Styela clava: one gene and its partners. The protein of the gene in region 3 interacts with the protein of the main gene of each other region in a pairwise test. Links are inferred from orthologs where the notes say so. Each region holds a gene or a part of one and is shown on either strand. Other genes may lie near its edges. The genes, in order: spectrin beta chain, non-erythrocytic 1-like; serine/threonine-protein phosphatase 4 regulatory subunit 1-like; centrosomal protein of 63 kDa-like.

Region 1 (7,260 bases), on a different chromosome or scaffold from region 3:
AAGCAGTGGAAATTAGCCAGTGGGACGCACCCCAAAAGAGGGGCGTAGACAATATTTTGAGGGGGCATGTGGCTAATTGAAATAAAATTATTTGTTAAATTTGATCTTGCCCGCCTTATTTTGTCTATTTACCTTACTTTTTCTCATTCTGGATATTTAAATGTTCTATCCACATATCTTCAACGTGTTTTTCGAACAAAACATACTTTCTAACTGTTATTTGTAATTGTAGCTTATTGTTAGCTACCGGTAGTTATTTTTGAGGTGGGGCGCGAGACTTAAAAAATTCTAAAATTTATATGTGGGGCGGCCTAAAATGTTTGAGAACCACTGGTCTAAATTTGGGGCTCCCGAAGTCTGCGAACCAAGATGGCGGACATCGGAACGTAACATGGGTAACAGGTTAGGGCTAGGCGATAATTTTTCTCCAATTTTCCTTATTTTAGTCCTATTATCCGTTCGAAGACTAGCCAAGAGCCTCCCGTAGCATTTATACCTAAAATTATGGCCTAACCCTAACCTAGTACACATATTACATTCCGATGTCCGCCATCTTGGTTCGCATACTTCGGGAGCCCCCTAAATTTAGTATATTTGATTTGATAAACTCCTTAGTTTCTTTACCGTAAATATTTGGAATATTTATTAACGGCATGGACACCAAAAGCAACAAACGAGCACACCCAAACCATGACAGCATATGAAGATTATGATTACTTGCTCTAATCCAGGGTCGTTCAACATATTTTGTCGTCGGGGCACATTGGAACCTCAAGTTGGGCCACACAAAAAAATTAGTATTCCATATGAATTCCGACAAAAAATTATCACAATGCAATATTTAACCCAGTGACAAGACAATTTCTATTCATGTGAGTGATTAGGATTTTATGCTTGATGAGGAAAAATCTAAGTGTTGACAAGGCTCACACTAAATGACTCGGCTTCAGTTGGCGGGTCAGTTGTTGGCCCGTTGGCCACCTGTTGCACACCCCTGCTCTAAGCGAACCAAAAACTGGAATATATTCAAAATTAGTTATGTTCTAAAAAGTTAATTCTTGATATTAAAAATGATTAGATATATTTTAATTTTAATAATGTGATTCTACATACCGTAATTGAGATTAGAAATTCCTGGTTTGCTAATTAGATAATTAAGTTCTTATAATTGTGGAAAACCAATCAATAAAACCTCCGCTTCATCATAACTTGTTTTTTCACTACAAAATCAATAATAGAATCAATATTCTGTTGCCGTGCTTATGACGAAATTCAAAAATACAAAAAGTATTCAAAATAGTAAATTATTTTCTTTTAGCATATTTACTAGAAAAAAAATGGATAAAAAATTCTAATGGAAGCCCAAAGTTTAAACTTGCAATGTCTTTTAATGTGAATTTATGTTAGACTAATGTCACCCTTAGCAGAAGCTGACATTACTATGACATCACAACGAAGCATGCGAGATGATATTGTGACACAACAAAAACTTACTTCTCTTTCAAACGGCTCCATCTTGGCTAAAGAAACAGACATTTTATGGTTTTAAACAATTCCTCGTGAGAGCTTGCAAAATTAAAAATTAAAGAAATCAATATGTTATAAAGAAATATTGTATCTAGTAGTGAGACTTCTTGAACACGGAATTTGTCTTTCTAGATAAGATAATCTGTTAGTCTAATAATGCATTAATTACATATCTTTACTCTGAGGTAAGGTGAGGTGAGTAGACACCGATTATATAGATATCCTTGTTTGAGTGAAGATATAAAAAAAACTCCTATAAATGTAATAGGCTATATCAAATATTGTAAAAAATTATAGTATGTTTCCAAGCACTCACACATAAGAAACTCCTAAGAAAGCAAAGAAATTATGAAGAACCCAAGGTATATGAACTACTGCTCAAATTTTTAAAAAATGTTGCCTTCAACATGAAAATTGAATCGATTAAGTAAAAATTAGTAAATTAAAAATAATGATTACCGGTATGTAAAATCCATGATCATTCAAGTGTTCAAAAGTAAACAAATTTTCATAAATTCCATAAATTATATCATAATTTAAAAAACATGGAATAATAATTGTATAATTGATTTATGATATTATAGCAATTGAAAATACTTGTTCTAAATCTAAAGTACATGAAATATAATTAACTCAAGTAGACCGCAAAGTACTCTCTTTGACACCAGATAACTCTCGAGTGTTGCAAATATTGACAAACTATATCCGGACACACCTATGTCTGCCGTCTAAACGGTATATCCAAATAAAAAGCTTGTATCAATGGCTATTTATTAAAGAATGTGTTATAAGAAATTTAGAAACTTTTTGCTTATTAAAAGTCTAGTTAATAAAAATCTGGTTCTTCTATTATTAATAATGATGCTTAAAGTGCACAACACGTCCTCTTGAAATTTTTTCATTAAAAATTTGAACATTTTTGATGGTTAGGTCCTGAAAAAAGACACGTTTTCAATTTCAAACTGAACAAAATTTACTCAAAAAAAAGAAATTCTGATAGAGGTGTCGAGAAATTCAGTTTCGAGAAATGTGTGAAATAATTGGAAAATAATTTATTATCGAAATAATATAAATTTAAGAATCATTCACTTTTGTTTGGCAATTTAATTTAATCAAATTTGAGCCATTTTGTCCCTATAAATGGGACCTTAATAGTAAATGAGTCTTCATTGTTTTAATAATTGAATAAAACAATTGAAACCTTCTTGCATTACAAAAAAAAATGAAAATTACACTGAAATTAAACATCATGATAATCATGATAATCTTCATTAATATTCAAAAATAATGAAAAACGAAATTTAGAGCATAGTCAAATAATCATAAACTATAACTAAATGAATCTTTAAAAATGTCCTCACCTGCTTAGCTCTTCACAAAAAAGTGCCACCTAGTGTCAAAGAATCCAGAAGATGACGAGATGAAGAAGTATTGCTTTACAACCAAGCTAATCAATTGTATTTTCATACACTAACATTTAAAACTGAAAGATATAAGAATTTTAGTACTTAGATGAAAAAGATCGAAAAACAGGCATTTTGGGAAAAATTTAATACCGACAATGCAATAAAATGAGTTTTAGAATCTCTTTCACCATCAAAGGCACAAAAACAGACTCAGAAATGGAAATCTCATACAAAGGAAAAGCAGCAAATGAATACTGTCTAAATCAGGGTGGTCCAAACCCAGGCCCAGCTTCATTATCTGTGGCCCGCATCATATTCTGAAAGTAATCAAGAAATCGCACTCCGTGTTGTTTTGTCATAAAATTAATCAGAAAAACCTTTTGACATATTGTTACATCAATAATGTCACTGAATGGACTAGTGTTATGGCTATCTGAGGCAACTAGCGAAGTTGAATGATGTGCTTGGCAGTCTAAATTATTATCTGGCTTTCTATCTTTTTGGTTGGGAATATATGCTTACAATATAGGCATCATAGAAAACTAAAAATCGAATGCGGATTCTATTAGCCCGGAATGGCTATGTCTGATAACTATGTGTTTGCACAATAAAGTATTCGATTTGTATTGCATTGTTTACCTATTCTTGGCACTATTGTGGCCCGCGAACAATGCAGAAATAATTTTGTGGCCCGCAGAGCCGACAACTTTGGAAAACCCTGGTCTAAATGATATTTCATTACATTGCAAAATGCTATCTCTGACATGGGTAAAATACGGCACACGGGCCAAATTCAATCTGGCCTGCCTGATGCTGCCACAATCCAACAAAAACCAAATTCTGATGTTTTAGCTAAAAAAAATAGCCCAAAGAATTTGTTGTGATTGCGATTGAATTTAGTTTGGGCTCAAATTGAGTACCAAATATGGTGCTCCCGAAGTATTCGTATCAAAATGGCGCACAACCTGAGCATAGTATGTGTATCAGGTTAGGGTTTTCAGGTTGTGCGACTTCTTGGTACAAATGCTTCAGGAGCGCCCCAAATATATTATAAGCTTCCATCTTTCTCAAAATGAATGCAAAAAATATTACGTTCCACCTTGCAGAATTGGAACTGCTTTCCTAAAAAATAAATCTCAAATTTATTAGTGTAGAATGTTCAGACACCTTAATTGAGTGAACCTTGTCTAGACAAATTTGTAAATATTTACACGAAGATGTTTTCTTGTTTACATTCGTGCGATCAAAAAGATTTAGGAGATTTTATGGATCACCTCACACCCATGGCTTTAGCTAACAGAAATTTTTACATTTAAATTGATCAATATACAGTATTGTGAGCATACAGGAAAAGATTTACTGCAAAACAGCCCTTCAACAGTGAATTTATAAAAATTCGCATATAAGCTGACCCTACAAATCATAACACGCTGCACCTACCACAAAAAAACGGTTGTAGAAGAGAATTACTGAAAATGATAACCATTATTCTTATGTTTAACTTTTATCAAGTTATGCGCTCTAAGACCCCTTTGTTTGGCAACTTTTTTTTTAGTTTAAACTCTGCTTATATGTGAGGATATATAGATAAATAAAGAATTTTACAGCGCTCCCGAAATATGTGCACAACCTGAACCCTAACCTGGTACACATACTATGTTTAGGTTGTGCGCCATCTTTGTGCACATACTTCTGGAGCTTCGAAAATTATACATTCCAGTCAGCTACCGGTATATAATTATAATAAAAAAATAATAAAAAGTAGAGATACTAGAATACCAAACCCCCAAAAATGTAATTGTACCATTGGTTAAAAAAAAAATTGGCATACATCCAAGTTAATCCAACCACAAACATTAAAAATATGAAAATGAAAAAATACATTTTATAGGCACATCCCATGCAGCAGCGCTTAAAATCAAGTCTACTGTTTATATGGTATTATTAAGCCCTCTAAAGAGTTTTACTCAAATGGTGATTGGAACTATATATCCATTCCTATTCCTAACTTGTCGACAGCCCAATAACCATTCACAGAACGGGAGACATTGAGATATAAATTGGGACCATATCCATTCTTATGAAAATGAAAAATAGAACAATCCTCAAATCAACTGCATGACTTAGTTCTATAACCCTACTTTTTACAATTTGAATATAAATTTTACATTCCATAATAAATGACATGATAGACTTTTAAATTCCATCTAGATGAACAGAGATATTACAGACACATCTTGAGAGATAATTACAGCTTTATATAAGTCTTAACATATCATTATAAGTCTAACATATCATTATAGCTTATACAATTCATATCAAGAAAAACAGAAAATTGAGGGCAATTTCAGTGTAAATATGAGCAACTAATATTCAGACATTTTGCAGCGATTTCCTATAATGATGGCCATGTGGTTAGAGCAGTGGTTGCGAACCTTTTTGGTGAAGCTCGAGTCCAACTCCAGAATTTCATCCTAATTTATTACACTCTTGAGGTGGCGACATGGGATTTGGACCTGAAATCTGCCCTTTCACAATTTAACAGCAATACCTGAAGCCTTTTCTGCAAAAATAATACCAACAAGAATTCACTTCAAAATGATCATTATCAAACTTTAATTTTAGTCTGTTTGTGCCTGAAGCAGTTTTGTGGTAAATTTCGATGTAACTTGATACTATATTTTACAAAAAGCATAACTTGTTACCGATAAGCTTCAATCTCAATACTGAGAAGTAAAGGAGTATGGCAAAGCTAAACGTTTCACGGAATAAAAACATGAAAGAAAACTGTAAAATATTATGGTCTAACCCTAACCTACGCTAACAACGGAAGTTCCGAAAATTTGAACTCCATGAACCTTAGTTTACGCACGTAATATATTGACAGACTCCCGAAATTAACCGACAATGACAATCTCGTTCTTTTCAAAATCAAAACCATGCAGATACACACACTCGCCACACAATGAACCATCTTATTCATGTGTAAAATTATCCTTTTATACGCATCGTACGGCTCACTGCTTCACAAAAACGAAACATGACAATTACTATGTAGAAGAAATCACAATAACAGCGCGAATACAACGATTACGACATCACTTCGACTGAAATTTGCAGAAAAACAAAAGATTTAAATCAGTGAAGCGTAAATGAGAGTCCTTCAGAAAATTAATTCCGGATAATAAAATACCGATGAGTAAAATTGTTAAGTAAATAGAATTGGCGATTTTAAGAAAACTGAAGTGGAATAAATGCTCACTTATAAAAATAAAACAAAAATAATTAAATATCATTCAGACTTCAGAGATTCCTTTTTAAAACTGGGGATGATGGATTAGGAATACTCATATTTATCCCAGATACGGAAAAGTCAACAAGACAGCTTAATCATAATATGTCAGGCATGATTCCTTGTTTGATTGTCAGTTTAAGTCAGTGTCAGACAGAATATTCTGAATCGAAACCAAGTGTAATAATTCTGGTATTTGACTTTCCGTTTTAAATTGATTAAGTTTGGACTTGTCAACTGAGCTAGATAAGATATAGTGAATGAGTATTTCATATCCCATCTTAAGATGAGAAGATATTTGTCATTGCAGCAGACTTATATTGAAATGCTGATGGCTTTCTACACTATCAAGTCCATGCAATTTAAAAAGTAACAGGCTAATGATTCCCTTACCCAATATAGACTGACAAATGTACAAGAGATCATGGTTTGGCATATCATAATGTCAGTTAGTCATATCATCAACTTTCCTCTCCCATAAGATAAAAAAAAACTATTCCATAAAATAAAGACTTGCATGCTTTAAGTTAAAGATAGGTAAAATGGTGCTCCTGAAGTATGGGAAGCAAGATTGCGGACATCGGAACGTAACATGGGTAACAGGTTAGGGTTAGGCGATAATTTTTTTCCAATTTTCCTTATTTTAGTCCTATTATCAGTTCGAAGACTAGCCAAGAGCCTCTCGTAGTATTTATACCTAAAATTATGGCCTAACCCTAACCTAGTACACATATTACATTCCGATGTCCGCCATCTTGGTTCGCATACTTCGGGAGCTCCGGTAAAATTATATCCAAATATGAAGCTTGGTCTATAAACTCTTCATAACAATTTTACACCCACAGTGTACCACTATGCTCAGTCATATAAGGGTTCATAAGAGTTCAAACTGTATATTAGCAAATAAATACATCCCACTTCGCTATATAAAACAAAAGTAATTAAAACACAAACAGTGTCTGAATAAATACGTAAAAATAAATAACACTTCAGTAAAACCAAATTCGCTTATGCCACATTTTTCGGAAATCAAGT
Region 2 (7,591 bases), on a different chromosome or scaffold from region 3:
GAAGCAAATCACAGAGCTTATATTGAACTTCATATTAAGATGCAAAATGCAGGTTCTGAAATCAGCAAGATATTGCTGAAAAAAACTTGACATCTCTGTCCTTGTCACTTTGAAGTTCTTTGAGCATTGCACACATTTCCTCTCCCTCCCCTTCATCACAGAACGTTTGGACAGCGTACGAGAGAGCTTGGGCTGCGATTATTCGTACATTCACTATTCCGTCGCGTGCCATCTCGACCAATGTAGTTGAAAAATACTTTAAAAATATGTTGAACGGTAAGAGCAGCTCTCGTAGAATAAGGTTGCATATTTTGCAGAATAATGCCCGTTCTTTCCAGCGAGTACTCTTCGCCAATGCGGACGTAACTCGCTCCGTAAAAATCTGGAAATTTCTCTCATCCCCCGATTCATGTAGTTCGTTCAAAAGCCTCCCGATTAGTCCTCCAGCTTCCACTTGAACTGCGACGACTCTATCCGTGGCCAGACGCATCGTTATTGGACAAATATACTTCACAATGTCGTCACAGTTATACAGCTCAGTGAGAGAGCACAATTGTCTTGCCAGCTCATAGCGGAATCTCCAATTACGGCTGTTATCGATAGTGAGAAAGTCCGTTAGTTGGTAAAGATATATTCCACGGACTTCAGGTTTGAGTAGCTTTAAAAATTCTGCTAGGTGGCGCAACACTCCGATTCTAACATCGTCCAAATCTTTCAAGAATCCGTTGAAAACTGGAACTAACTCAGTCGCTGTCAATTCTTCGCCTAAAATTTTTGCCAATTCATGAATTGATGACGCTATTGTTCTCCGAACTTTCCATTGTACGTCTGAAGCCAGCTTTTGGTAAACGTCTTTCAAACAATGCCAATTATTTCGTCCGAGAGTGTACGCGACACCAGGAAGACTATAAGCACAGTGCATCGTTATTTCAGTGTCTACGGTTTGCTTTCTAGACGGATCAGTCATTGATAAGAAATTATCAAGCAACTGTTGTGGAATGACTGACTGCTGGCTTGATGCTTTGGAAGTGGGACTATGTACAGAAGATATAGGATCGAAATGGGCATAGTGATCTGATCCGGAAATACGGTCGGCAAAATCACGAGTGTAGTTGATATCATTAAGCGTACTGAACATTCGATAATTGATTTCCATATTATCACTCGATTCCGTTTCATACAAATCTGGGTATTCCTGTAAACTCGGACTTTGCCAATTTCGTGGCTCGTTTTCATCATAGTATTCATCATCACTGTCCTCGCTGCTTTCTTGATTTCCGTTTTCTGCAGCCGAGGGCGTTTTCTCTGTGACGGTTTCAGTTTGCTCTTTGGTCTCTTCTGTAATGGAACTTTCTGTCGAGTCTCCTTTTGCTAAATCAGAATCGTCATTTGGAATTACTTCTTCTGTGGTTTTCTCCAATCCAGAATCATCTGTAAATACTTCGACATTTCCATTTGTTGTTGTTAAATTTATCGAAGGAACGGCGTTAAGTTCATCATATTCTTCTTCTTGTTTATCATCCTTTATTTCTGCTGACTCAGCGTTCTCGTTTTCGGCTTTATCCAAATTAATATCAAAATGAATCGGCATGTTTTCTTTTTCCGCTGAAAACTCAATCGATTTCAAAACATCATCTTTGGTCGGTGAATAAACGTCATCATCCTGTTGTTCAACTGCAGTTTGAACTTTCAGCTGCTTACTTGTTTCTTTTTGCTCTAATTGTTCATCCGGTTTATCCTCCTCGTTTTGGTGGGTGGGATTAGAACTATTCACGTAAACTTGAGACTGAATTTCGTCTGTTTCCTTGTTTTGATCCATCGGAGTGACATCATCAAAATCTTCTTCGAAAGTGACGGGTGGTATCGGGTCACGCCAGTAAAGGAAGGAATCAAAATCATATTTCAGTTCATCATCAGTGATTTTATAACCAGGCACACCTGTTGCCGCTTGATTAAAATTATCACTCGCCGATTTGCTGTCAGCAAACGTAGATATAAAAGGTCCGAGAGACTCGAAAGCTGCGACGCGGACCCATCTAGATTGGTCTGATAGAAGGCCACTGTACAATGGAGAGAGCGTGTTGATACGAACTTCTTCAGACATGTGTTTAGCAAAGTCAGGGAAACTCTCTGCGCAAGATTTTCTCACCCCCCATACATTGTCTTTGCATAAACCGATAAATCGCGGCAGAAGATCTTTGTTGATAAGTGCATCATCGAGAATGTCACAAAATGCTGAAAAATTGGCGGCACAAACTTTACGGACATGAAATATAGTGTCATCAGAACAAGAATCCAAAAATATTGGCAAAAAATATTCTTTTGCGAATTCTGAGCCGAAGGATTCACAAATTTGACACACAAGGGCGATAGCTTCTGTACGGTATTCGTCAGGGGCCTGTTTACGTGAAGTGAGATCCTTTAGCAACGGTAAAATTTCATTTTCAAACTGACCAACTTTTAAATACCCAGCTTTGGTTATGTCTACTAAAACACTATGGCAGGTTTTGCGGACTTGATTATTCACGTCAGTGAGGTATCGGAGTAAAATAGGCACCACAGCACTGTCTAGCAATCTTGTATGAAATATTTCTGTTATCTCAGCAAGTTGTTCCATGAGTTCGACTCGAACTGACGGTTCTAAATCTTCTGAAAGCTTGAGATAACACTGAATAGCAGATTCGAAATCTTTCTCGTCATTTTGCACGGCTTCAAAAACATTACAAGCATCGTGAGCAATCATTCTACGATTAAATATATTGTCACTAACAGCGAAACATCTCAATCTTGCTAACGGTGTCAGAAGCTCTTCAGGTGTAGTGACATCGAGTGGTGACGGAATTGAAGAATCGTTAAAAGCCATAATTCCGCTACCAATTGTGCTAAATGACATTTGACCGTGCTGGTCACCTTCATTATTGTCATCTTCCTGGTCGTCAAAGTTCTCGTCCATGTCCACCTCCATATCCTCGTTCGGAAGGTTTAGGACGATCCGTAAATCAGTCATTTTAGTTGATTTATATTGTCAAAATGAGCAAAATCTGGCACTTTTATCCAATTCAGAAATAATAAATTTTCTCTTTGCGAAGTACAGGCAGATTTTGATTTGCACAGAAATTTATTAATTCTTCGTCCTTTGTATAGAATTTAAAACTAGATTTTTCGATAAACTTTAATTTAAAGCTGAATTAAAATATTAACAATAAAATATTGATTATTAGACATAGTAGTATAAGAACAATGATTAAATGAAATAATAAACATAAACAACTAGATTTAGAACAATTTTACTTTGGTGCTAATCTATGAAGCATGAAATAGCAGCATTGGTTTCTCCCGGATAACAATCAGATATTCTAACAAGTCAGGCTTCATTAATTTACGGAAGTGGAGGAGACTGAAGGATACCAAATTAGACCAAAATACACGACAGCCGTAATTTTCAGCTTATAAATTGGATAGGTAATGTCGAACCTAAAAGATCTTGGGAAACAATGAACTAACATTGCTCAGTTAACAAAGTAGCAAAAGGAAAGGATTTGGATATTTATACCGGGTAATGGGAATACCATCTACGGCAGCATCTTGTCTGGTTACCAGTGATGTCCATAACAAATAGTAAAAAACTAAAAGTAAATGAAATGACAACAAATTTGGTTTTTCGACTTTAATATTTGATATATTAATTTATATATATATTGTTCGTCTTATTTCTATTAAACTTGTATCAAAGTTAGACTCTTATCACAGGTGTCGCTGCTCGATAACCAACTTTGGTTGTTCGCGTCACCTTTCAATATGAAATGTCATTTTCAACTTTTTTTAAGTGTATGTTCACTGTGAGTGCATTTTCATTTTGGTGAAAAATAAACTACTGACTGACAGAAGTTACTCTAACATAAGGAAATACCTCACAAACATAATTGATGCCTATTTAAAAGCATAATTTAAGAGAATATTTACGGTATGTACAAAAAACAACACTAGCATGAAAATATCTGAAATATTTCAATAGATGAACAAACACATTTTCTCCATAATATACAACTGGATATTTCATATTTAAAACAGTTGATAATACGAGTCAGAAATAGCCAGAATACTGATTTTCAAAATTGCTGTACTTTTCTCGTTGTGGGGTTGCAAGTATAATTACTATATTTATAAGCACTATTATGAAAAAAAAAGATATTTGAGCAAATAACTGTAAATTCGTAATAAATTGAAATTGGTATTGCAGAATGATTCAAATAGTATATATTTCACACATTACAGTGTCAAAGGTGAATTATGTCTGATATCGGATGTCAAATCTTTACAATGATAAATTTTTTAAACAAAATTATTTTTAATTCTTCCTAATTTTACAATTTTACTGTATCGACTATCTTCAATTAGGGATGTATTCAAATATTTGGATGGAATATTCTTGATGGGAATATCCTCTGTTTTTTTGTTGTTCTGAGTTTAATGGACTAGCAGTCAACCGTGTTTAGGATCATTATAATGGGTAGGGAACATTAAATACAAAAAAGAGGACAGTTTAAAAAAGACGCACTTTCACTTATGTAAATGAAATAGCAACAGAAGTTATGAAATGGAAGATTTTACCATCTTAGAAGAATATAGTTGATGCTGCTAGTTTCAGCTTCAATGACTACACGATAAGGATGAATTTTTTTCTGAAGTATATTACATCATGTTACATTCCTATTTTTTAAACCAAACTTATTATTGCATATTTAATAGAGAATTAATAGCTGCATCCTTATTTCCTCCACTTGCTTCTAGAACTGCTTTAATCACGCTATCCTCCACGTTCGGAAACATTTCTTTAACTTGTTTGAGATCTTGTTCTGTGATCGCGGGTTGCTGAATTTGTGTTTGCGGCTGACTTGGTGGATACATACCCCCGACTTGGACACCAGGTGGCACCATGTACCCACCTGCTGCCGCGGGCATCATCATAGGTACACCAGCAGGATTATAGACGTGTGGGAACATCATCGGCATTGGAGCGTTGTATATAATTGGTTGCTGAACTTTGGACCATGAAATTTGTAAATGTATCATTCCTTCCTTTTCGTCGCCAAGTTTTCCGCTTAACGGCCACCAATCATCTTCAGATTTCCCACTTTTTATCGCGTCCGAAATGTCAATTTTACCCCACGCTATTCTGTTATCAATAGAAAAGGCTCTTTCATCGTAAATTTCTATCTTGATATGTTTTAAATCCTGTGCCACCGTAGTTGAAATAGTTTTATTCCAATATGGAAGCTTTGCGCCATTTTGTGCTGTTGCAGTTTCATAAACTGCATGTCCCACAATAACACGGCAGTATGGATCCATTCTTGTAACACCATAATTCTTATTTAATTTTGCTTCAACTAAAGTTAAATTCAATCTGTTTGCAGTTCCTGCAACAGCAGTTTGTGTCAGCATTTGTTGCTGCTGTAACGCCATTTGCTGTGCCAGGGTTGCGTCGTTCCTTGATTGTCCTGTTGAAACAGCGGTTTTTATTCTCAAAAAATCAGATGAAAGTTGTCCCAGAAGGACTTTACCTCGTTTAGTGTCTGTCAACTTCATACCGCCATTTCCGTTTACTGTTGGAGCCTGTGCAGGCTGAGGTTGAACTGCCGAAGCCATAGAACCCTAAGTGATAACTCAAATCTACAAAAATTTCAAACGATTGAAAACGACAGGTCAACGGAAAACTGGAAAAAGAGAACTAGACCCACAAAGATCAGAGCCAGAGAGCGGAATAGAAAATACAATTTGATACGCTTTAAGGGTCGAAGGTCATAATATTATAGGATTTTCATATTTAGAATTTACACATATTTACCCGGGGAGCCGACAAGACCTAGTCGTATGGCGAACCAATGCCTCTCGTCAGGTTACCGATCCATGTCGAGTATATAAGGTTAGTTAGCCAGGTCTTTATTTCAGATGCTTGAACTTTATGGTGGAGGAAGCCGTAGCCGACCAAGGGTTGTTACGTGAACCACCCTACGGCGGCGAGAAGTCCAGCAATCTTTTCGCACCTAATCATCACTCACGGCCCACGGGGTTCAAACTTGCGAACCCACGCAGAGGTGCGGAGCGTATTTCTGACGCTCAGCATGATGCGCCACGCCGCCGAGCCGGGAGGAAATCTGACAAGATTGGCTAAACCAGCGTTTTTCAAACTGTATTCCAAGGAACACTAGTGTTCCGCGAGCGTCATCGAAGTGTTACGTCTAAAATGGTCGCCATGGCGATCTTTGGAACGTGAAGTTGTCGTCTAACTGGCCGTCACCTTTACTTACTGGGGTAGTGGCTTTTTCCGTCGGCCTAGCTTGTTGAATGTTCATTAACGAGTTTACAGCAATCCTTTTGATTTTTGCTATAGGCAAACGAGTAGAAAGAATAAAGGCAAAAAGTCAACACTTCTTCCCCATCTCTGCCTGGTTTTACTCTAGAATGCTGAAAAAAATTACTCATTTCGCTAAACTCTATTCAGTAGATGAACTGCAGTAAAATAAATGAATTGATCCATATACACAGCATTTAAATTAGGAAATAATAAAACATTTATAATAAATGCATTATGTAAAATATTCAAAACAATCCTGTTAATTTTCGCGGCGCATTGAGAACCCACTGGGAACGGCTACATTACACCGTTATTCATTATCAACTTTACCCTTTCTTTTTTTGGTGTTCCGCGAAGCGAGATAAAAAGTGTAAGTGTCCCGTTGACGAAAAAGTTTGGGAAACACTGGGCTAACCCATATGGCACACTACAGTCACTCGCACGGTTTCAGTCCATGTCGGCTGAGATTGTGTTAAGCTAGTTATTTGTTTTATGTATGTGTACTTGATGGTGGGGTAATCTATACACGACTGGTGGTTACATGAACCATCCACCTCACGACGGAGAAGAGTCCACAGAGCTGCCCAATTAACGCTCCGGCTTGTACTTGGCCGCGTAAATTTGTAAGCAGACTTCCAATATTATCATAATATATTTTAGTACTCTTATATATTTTCAATCATGTTTTGCAATTCTGGCATAATTGATTCGGTAAGCTATATTTCCCCCAGTTTTCCTTGTCTCATAGATAGATAGATTTATTTTGAAGACTCCATAATACACACAAAATATAAAAGGAGAATTCTGGAGAGCGAACAAAACCTTTGAAAAGTTTAAAACATGAGAAATATCATGTGCCCACCCACCAGCACACACGCAAAAAAATTACAATAAACACAAACCTTTTTAAACATGGCTTGGGCCAGAAATGAACAAACAAAAAATACGCGGATGTATTGAACCTTCGGGCAGTTTTACTTTTGGAGCACTCAACCTACAGTAATAATGATTTAGAGACAATCCAGTACGGAATATCTGTATAGGCCAAATTTAAATGTCTCGAAAAGATTGGTGAATCGGGTTCTTCTGTGGTTTTCGAATAGTTCAATTTAAAATGATCGAATCATATGCCTTAGTTAGATTGATTCTTGCTCCCCGGCGGGCGTGAACAATTAGTTTTTTTTGTCAATACGATTATTGTGAGGTCGTCGACATTAACGAATATTATAGGAATGA
Region 3 (8,026 bases):
CTCTTTCACAAACTCTGTCTCTTGTTGAACTTTTGAGTCAAGTTCAGCACGAGTTTTTTCAAGTTCTTTTTGAAGTGTGTGCTCTCGCTCACTTATCTTTCCTGTTGAAAGATAACAGCTAGGGTAGGTAAAATAAAGTACTTCTATCGAATCTGAAATTTCAAATATTTTCAGTCTACGATCAAGGCCAGGGTCGATACTCTATTTGGAAAATAATGGAAGATATGAATAATTGGTAAAAACAAAATTGTTTGCGTTATATTAGTAGGTGTGATGGCTTAGTGCAGTGTTTCTCAACCTTTGCGTCGCGACCCAAAACTGCGTTGCATGAAAAATCTTTTTGGGTCGCCTGTTATTTCATCAATAAACTTGAAAGTTATTGATATTATTTTCTAGTTGATTTTATAGATTACTTAATATCTGGTAATGGAGTGTTCTTAGGAATTGTATGAGCATGGCTGTCTCAATTCGAAGTAATTTTTTGTAAAATAAATGTTATATAGTATTTTAAATTATTTGATTAAATAATCACCTTGTTTTGCATAATGTTTCTGCATTTTTGAGTACGTCGATTTCAATTGTAGTAATTCGTTGCGAAGATACGATAACTGGGATTCGTATTGTTTTACCACGTTTCGTTGGCTACCGTCAAACCCATCTAATTTGTGTTTCAACATTCCTACTTCCTGATGTTTTTGATTTAACATAGATTTAGTGTGACCGAGTTCTTGTTCACGAACTTCGAGTTTGTCCTGCAATAGTGAGAAGAGATTATTTACGAAGTGCCTTATATCCTTGCATATAGGCCGAGTTTAAAAGTCTTAGTATAGATAAATCTCATGCCTCCCACTTGACTCTCATAAATACTCAAAAAACATACGCCATGCCTCCCCCCTCCCCCAAAAAAATTCAATATTTTTTTGTAATGCACTTTCCAGGGATCGCAGTCAGACATCAATTTTGCGGCTTTTCAATACCATTTTGCTCTATTCTTGAACAATACACTGAAACTCAACGTTTCTTGGCTTACTACCAACAATCCTTTATTATAGCTTGGATAACTCCCGACAGCGAAGTGAGTTTGTAGAGTGTTTATTTGGGATCTAGTTAGAAATGGCTTAATAACAGCTTTTGTCTAGCCTTGTTTGAAGCAAAAGGCATGAGTGAAGCTGAAAGCAAAAAAAAATTACTATCTTATCGAAGAATACAGAAATAGTTACCTGTACAGCTGCTAGTTCCCCTTCCCATTCCATTTTCTTATGTCGGACCATGATGTCAATTTGCCGCATTAATTCTTGCAGTTCAGCACCACATGATGTCAGTAGTAATCCACCATCTAATTGTTGCTTCTGCATACCTTCCCATATTGTAGTGTCCATAATTATGTGCTGCTAATATGTGTTATCCTGTAAAGGACAATATAGAAAAATAATTTACGCAATCCTGTTGAATTAAAAAAAACTTGTGCATTTTAATTTGGATGAAAATTATTAGGTCAGTATGTTGGGATAGGCTACATAATTTTATGAATCAGTCTTAAAAAAACATAGAAACAGAATCATTGCAACAAAAAACCATGAAGACAGTAGGCTATAGTTATCTGACTCCCATATGTCCCGACATTTGGGCACATAAAAAAAACACTCTGCCATCACGTGACCAAAATTCTGTTTTTTTGCTATAAACTCTCAAATGCTTTCAAAATTTTTTTCCTTCCAGTAAATTAGATCTCTACAGCACAATTCTCCTATTAAAAAAAAAAACCCACATAAAAAAGACATTAATTATAACAGTGAGTGCGAGGCCCCCCTTTACGAAAAAGTCAGGTCTCATGTAGTTTCTTACCTAACACACTTCTAGTGGGCGTAGCATGAAATTTTTTTCAAGTATCAATCCTAACCCCCACCTGACTACACCATCCAAAAATTACGTCATTACGACGTCACAGTGACGTAATAGAGCCCTTCAAACTATACGAACTGCCATCCAAGACGCGCAAACGAGCACCCGAAATCGAACAGTTCTCTCGTCGCAACGATTCCAATAGGAGAGAGACCGATAACGTCAGTCAGTTTTTTATCGCCGGCGCCAATGCCGTTTCGGTCGATCGTGCGTATATTTGGCAAGCTCTATGCCGTGATTGTGATGTCGTAGTGATTTAATTTTTTTGGATGGCGTAGTCAGATGGGGGTTAGGATTGACATATCAAAAAATTGTTATGCTACGCCCACTAGAAGTACGTTAGGTACGAAACTACACGAGACCCAAAAAGTCTGGGGGCTCCATATCGCCTCAAAACACAAACCGGCACTGCAGATAAACCAAACGGAAGTGCAATTCAAAAACATTACTATTGAATTCCTTGAAAAAGATAATCGAGTTTACAAGATTAAAAAAATATTTTCTGTTGTAGCATTCAGAGTTTTTAGCAAAGAAAGAATATGTCATCGTAACAGACGTCCTCGTTTCAGAGACAATATAATGTTGTTTTATTGAACCAAATGTCGGGACATATTGAAATCAGAATACTGTGCCCTATTTAATCATTACCATAAATCACAACAATTTTTGTTACAATTTATATGGGCATTCGGAAAAGCTTTAAAAAATAAACTAATCACATCCAGCAAACTTGTGGAATACATGTGTTAGCTGTTCACTAAAAGACCAACACTGACAAAGGCAAAAAAGAATATTTCTGTATTTGTAAATGTTTTCCATTAGCAACTACAGGTTTACATTTAACAGAGTGAGAGAGATTTCGCCAACCTGAAAACAGAGCAGAGAGAGAGAGAGAGATTTATTTCCACAAACAATGAAATGAGCATTGCAACAATAATAAAAATATACAACAGCACATACCACTAACAATAATTAGTCAACATTAATTCTAATTTGGTTTGAACTTTTTTGAACATCAATTAATCCTTATACCTTCCCCCATATTTACTCCCGTCCAAAAAATTACTACAACTCACTTGGTTTTCGTTTTTCCGCCAACGATTTTGTAAAATTTTCTGTTGGTGTTCGTTGTCGCGCCTCAGTGATTACAAAAATTATCCTAGCGTGTAAACAGCTGATACTGGATTATATATTCTTATAAAAGTAATGAGGTAATTAGTATATAAGAATTAATATTAATATTAAAATTATATTAATAAAATGCGGTTGAAGATTATTTATGGTATATTCAATCAGATAAAAAAACTCAAACTAATTGAGCGAAAGAAAACACATTCGGCGACCGAGAGCAGAATAATGTTGACGTCTAGTCGTCGTACGAATTGCCAACTAAATGTACCGTACTCGTTTCTATATACTTATTCAGAAAATAGATTTAGAAAGTTAACCAATTATTATTCTGTTAAATATATAATATTATAAAAATTATTGAAATTTAGTTCAGTATAATTTTAATTATTTCAAACTAAATGGTAAATTGGAATTTATTATTTACTTAATTTAAGTACCGGTATAAGTTTACCGGTATTATTCATAATCAGCAGTAGACGATAAAATATTAAATGAAGACAAAAAAATACCTGATTATAGAATCGGGAGAGCAAACAAAACCTCGAGTAAGGTTTGAAATGTACAGAATTTAGATGGAAAAGTATGTGTTCGCTCACACAAAAATATTTAAAAAAAATATGGCATTAAGAATTTTAGCTCAATTCTAAATCTTGTCGAATTGATAAATCTGAATAATGCTCGACGTCCTTTCTGAAAGACTGAAATAAGTAGTTTGTAATTGTTGAATGTTTAGTGCGAAAGATGGATTAAAGTTGTAGAATATAGGATTTTTGTGAAATATTTGAACAATGGAAGACACAAACATTTTTATTCAGGCCATCGAGGGTGAGTTTTTTGTTTGAAATTGTATTTTTCAATATTTCATTTATCAAGTATGAGTAACGTTATGAGTTTTTTTCGACTCAATAATCAGCATAATAGGCGATAAAATAATTGATAAAAACAAAAGAAATAAAACTGATTGTAGAATTGGTAGGGCAAACAATGATGGAGTCTGTGAATTCTAAATCTTGATATTACAGTACGGCACACTATACAAATCGGGTGACTTTGTCCCGTTTCAGAGAAACCATTTTCCATATGATCAGACACCCCTCCTTTGGGAGATGTCTGGACATTGTTATCTCTCATACATTTTTATTTTATTTTTTAGGCTATGAAGAAAAACAAGATCCCCTGTCAGAAGAACTTGATCGGTTTATAACTTACATTGCAAGGACCGGAGATATCTTGTAAGTTTTGTTTCTGGGTTGTTGGCTGGGTTCTGTGTTAAGTTTTGTGGTATTGACACTTTTTGAGAAACACAGCCCTAAAAATACTCGGGTCTGATATAGTTTAGTACCACATGCACTTCTAGTTGGCCTGGCTCAACAATTTTTGCATATGTCAATCCTAACCCTTACCTGACTACGTCACCCAAAAATTACGTCATTTCGACGTCACAGTGGCGTAATAATGGCCACCAAAGTACGTGAAAGGTCGTCCAAAACGCGCAGACGAGCACCCGAAATCGAGCAAGCTATCTCTCTTGTTTTCTCGTCACAACGATCACGATAGGAGAGAGATCGCTGGCTTTAGCGGGTTTGTTATCGGCGGCGCAGATGTCATTTTGGGCGATCGTAATTATACTTTGGCAAGACCTATGACGTGATGGCGACGTCGTAGTGACGTAGTTTTTGGATTGCATAGTCAGGTGGGGGTTAGGAATAACATGTGCAAAATTCGTTATGCTACGCCCACTGGAAGTACCTGTGGTACTAAACTATACTAGACCCAAATACTCAAAGATGTCCAAATTGTATCGAATATTTGGTGTGTTAAATTCTTGATCAGTGAAAAATATCTAGAATAGCTACATTACAAAAATCATCCTTCCCAGCTATTGAGAATGCATGTGGAACATTTTCCGGTTTTGGTCATCCCTGAGTTTTGACCAATTTGATGGAGTTCTTGATTTTTCACAATTACTTAGCTATTTAAGCTATTATTCTTGTCTTGCAAATAAGCAAAATTTTGTATTCCTTGTTGAAGTTTAATATATTCTTCTCCACTAGGGGGCCATGGGAGAAAGTACAGAAAGTTTTCATGAAGAAATTGACGTCAGTGTTAGATGAATTTTACAATATGGCTCCTTATAAAGTTGGGAAAATCAACGCAAATGCGACCAACGATGATTTTGATGAAATGAAAAAAAGATTGTTGCAGTTGACGGAAGAGTTTGACAGGTGTGTTACTATGTTTCTTGATTCAATAGTTTGGGCCAGTGGAAGTTTCCTCGACCCTTGACCCCCAAAAAAATCTCCCTATACTTAACCATTGCAAAATTTTAAACGCTCATTTCGAGAGTGTTTTGGGGAATTAGCTCATACAAACTGGCTCACATGTTCAAAACTCATTTTTATTAAAACGCAAAACTGCGTGCCGCTTACAGATACTTATAGCTAATTTTATAATAGTCTATCGCAGCATTTGCAGTATCGATTTTTAATTATTGCAACTCATCTAAATGTTCTCGTGAGGCATGCTGATTGATGCTTGGGGAAACATCCATAGTGGTCGCATTCTGATGAAAATAAATTTAATCAGTTACAATACTTTGAGCAAATTTCTGTTGGCTCTATGGCATTGCTTGGTATTATTTTTTTCAGACTCCGCAGCTCTTCCCAGCTCCCATTTAACTTATAATACTGTGAGAAATGATAGGAAAAATTAGTTGAATCTTTCTTTTACAGTCCGCCTTTCACAATCCAAAGACTTTGTGAACTTCTTGCAGAACCGAGGAAGAATTACACAAAATGTGATAAATTTATGAGAGGAATTGAGAAAAATCTAATGGTTGTCAGCTCATGGAGTAATCTACCAAGGTAAGACCTTTTTTCAAATAAAAATCAATTTTGAAAATAAAAATTTGACCTTGTCAAAAATTTAATTAATTATATTGATAGGCCTTTGTGCTCAGGTAATTTTTAAATGAGCAGCAACTGTATTTATTGATATATGAAAACCACTATTTTTGGATGCCAACGCAACTTTGTCTATCATTTTACCCACAATACCATTGTGACTATGAATATTCTATTGTTTTTTTCACCCCTACTTGTAATGAACAAACAATTTCACAGGACTCTCTCAGATAGCAATGACAACAACATGATGGTGAATGGTGTGGACTCGATGCCGGGCAATGGATACACTCCTGGAAGCGATAGGTGGGTGTAATGAATGTGTGAGTGAGTGTGTTCACCTGTGACTATGCTCAGAGATATGTCTCGTTTGATTGTTTAATTTAGTGAGTGTTACATTGCATTGAGGCTTGCTTTGAACAAATTTTGAATATAGACGAACTTCTTCTTTTCTAGTGGTCGAACCAGTGACCATCGAATTACTGTGTGAATTTTTTCACTCACTATTACATTTATATCAGATTTTATCCTTTTGTCCCAAATTTGACTGTTTTTTTTAGTTCATGGGTAAACTTTCATATGTCGTTTGGTACAATGGTTGCCCTATTAGTTAGACATTTAACTTTTGTTTTAGACTCGTGTTTTTTAGCTAATTGCCTATTTTTTTCCTGTTCAAACTTTAGATTCAAACCTCATTGGTCTAATTTGCCACCATCACCAATCAGCACTACCCCACCTAAGATACCGGGAGTTCCAGATTTTACAGCAGTTACTTTGCCAAAGCTGGAAATCACTACTGGAGAAACAGGAGAGTCTACTATTGAAGATGGTATGTATAGAATAGGTCTGTGGTTCCCAAACTGGGGTGGCGCCCCCTCATGGGGTCGCATGAAGATTTTGGGGTGTGCAACATTTTTTGTCGGTGGGCCATATAACCAACTTCAAACATTCAGCTGGGACAAAAGAAGAGAATGCTGCTATTCCCTGGCCTTACAGTAATAAATGCACCGGGCAAATCGTCATAAGATTTAAGAATATTAGTGTTGATAAGGGCCTTACAAAAGGCCTGACGGGCCGGGTTGTGACTCGCGGGCCGGGCCACCTGTTGTACACCCATGGGGACAATGCCAAAGTAAAATAATTCCATTTCTTTCAAATATGATTGGATCCTTGCTTATCAGTTGCTGGCTATCTAGATAATTATTCGTAGTTCAAGTGCGAAGCGAATCTAATGAATTTAATTTCATTTCTCTTTCAAGCATGGACTTGTTTATTTATTTTCCATATGACCAGTGGTTCTCAAATCGTTTAGGCCGCGCCCCTTTTTTAGAAGTCTCCCGACTCAACTCAGGAATAACTAGTTAACAATTATAGGCTACGAAAACAGATAGTAATCAAAAGTATGTTTTATTTAAAAAACATGTTAAAAATATGTGGATGGAATGTAAATATCCAAAATAAAGAGATGTAAATATCCAAAATAAGACTGACAAAATCAAATCTGAAAAATATTTAAATTTTTCTTTTTAATTAGCTTCAAGCCTCCTCAAAAAATTTTCTATTAGTCGTGGGTCGCACCCAATCGATTAAGAACCACAGTTTAAGACTTATTGACCTCCCTCTCTCATAATATGAATATGAAAATCTTATTCTATTCAGCAGAGACAAAGACAGCAGTTTCTGAAACCCCCGCTTCTGAGGAAAGGACTGAACAAACTGAAACAACACCTGAAATGGTAACAGAAGAAACTGAGAACACACAGGTAAGATGTCCAGTTTGTCTGCTCTGGAAAAGAATCACAGTAATCAAAGCATACCCAACTATGGATGTTTCATGAGCATCGATTTCCTTGTTTATTACCATAACAATGGCCAATTAGTAAAAAGTCAGCAATGACGTAACAATTGCAATTTTTGCATGCGTTTTGAGCGTAGTGCCAACTCTCCAAAACACTCTCAGAATAAGCATCCAAAATGTTTTTGAACGGTAAAGTATGGGGAGAATTTTTCTGGGGTCAAGGGTCGGAGAAACATACATTGGGTTCGAAAAATTAATATTTTGGTTGTTAAACTATTTTAAATACAATTTA

What was found.
Region 1: the proteins of centrosomal protein of 63 kDa-like (region 3) and spectrin beta chain, non-erythrocytic 1-like interact in a two-hybrid assay, tested with the Homo sapiens proteins (2 studies listed by BioGRID and IntAct). The link is inferred for Styela clava from reciprocal best matches to the Homo sapiens genes CEP63 and SPTBN1.
Region 2: the proteins of centrosomal protein of 63 kDa-like (region 3) and serine/threonine-protein phosphatase 4 regulatory subunit 1-like interact in a two-hybrid assay, tested with the Homo sapiens proteins (2 studies listed by BioGRID and IntAct). The link is inferred for Styela clava from reciprocal best matches to the Homo sapiens genes CEP63 and PPP4R1.

Annotation. Positions count from the first base shown.
Region 1 is NC_135262.1:2,863,472-2,870,731, reverse strand, and holds the start of spectrin beta chain, non-erythrocytic 1-like, read right to left. Parts: upstream 3,006-7,260; 5' UTR 2,889-3,005; intron 1,567-2,888; 5' UTR 1,537-1,566; coding exon 1,495-1,536; intron 1-1,494. UniProt on the Homo sapiens protein: Fodrin, which seems to be involved in secretion, interacts with calmodulin in a calcium-dependent manner and is thus candidate for the calcium-dependent movement of the cytoskeleton at the membrane.
Region 2 is NC_135250.1:1,384,266-1,391,856, reverse strand, and holds the start of serine/threonine-protein phosphatase 4 regulatory subunit 1-like, read right to left. Parts: upstream 3,050-7,591; 5' UTR 3,008-3,049; coding exon 62-3,007; 3' UTR 1-61. Other genes in the region: toll-interacting protein A-like, read right to left, coding at 4,732-5,646. UniProt on the Homo sapiens protein: Regulatory subunit of serine/threonine-protein phosphatase 4. May play a role in regulation of cell division in renal glomeruli. The PPP4C-PPP4R1 PP4 complex may play a role in dephosphorylation and regulation of HDAC3.
Region 3 is NC_135258.1:3,855,347-3,863,372, reverse strand, and holds the start of centrosomal protein of 63 kDa-like, read right to left. Parts: upstream 3,099-8,026; 5' UTR 2,979-3,098; intron 1,407-2,978; 5' UTR 1,380-1,406; coding exon 1,221-1,379; intron 753-1,220; coding exon 533-752; intron 102-532; coding exon 1-101. Other genes in the region: uncharacterized protein LOC120339798, read left to right, coding at 3,822-3,858, 4,187-4,265, 5,088-5,258, 5,766-5,897, 6,156-6,242, 6,620-6,765, 7,596-7,699. UniProt on the Homo sapiens protein: Required for normal spindle assembly.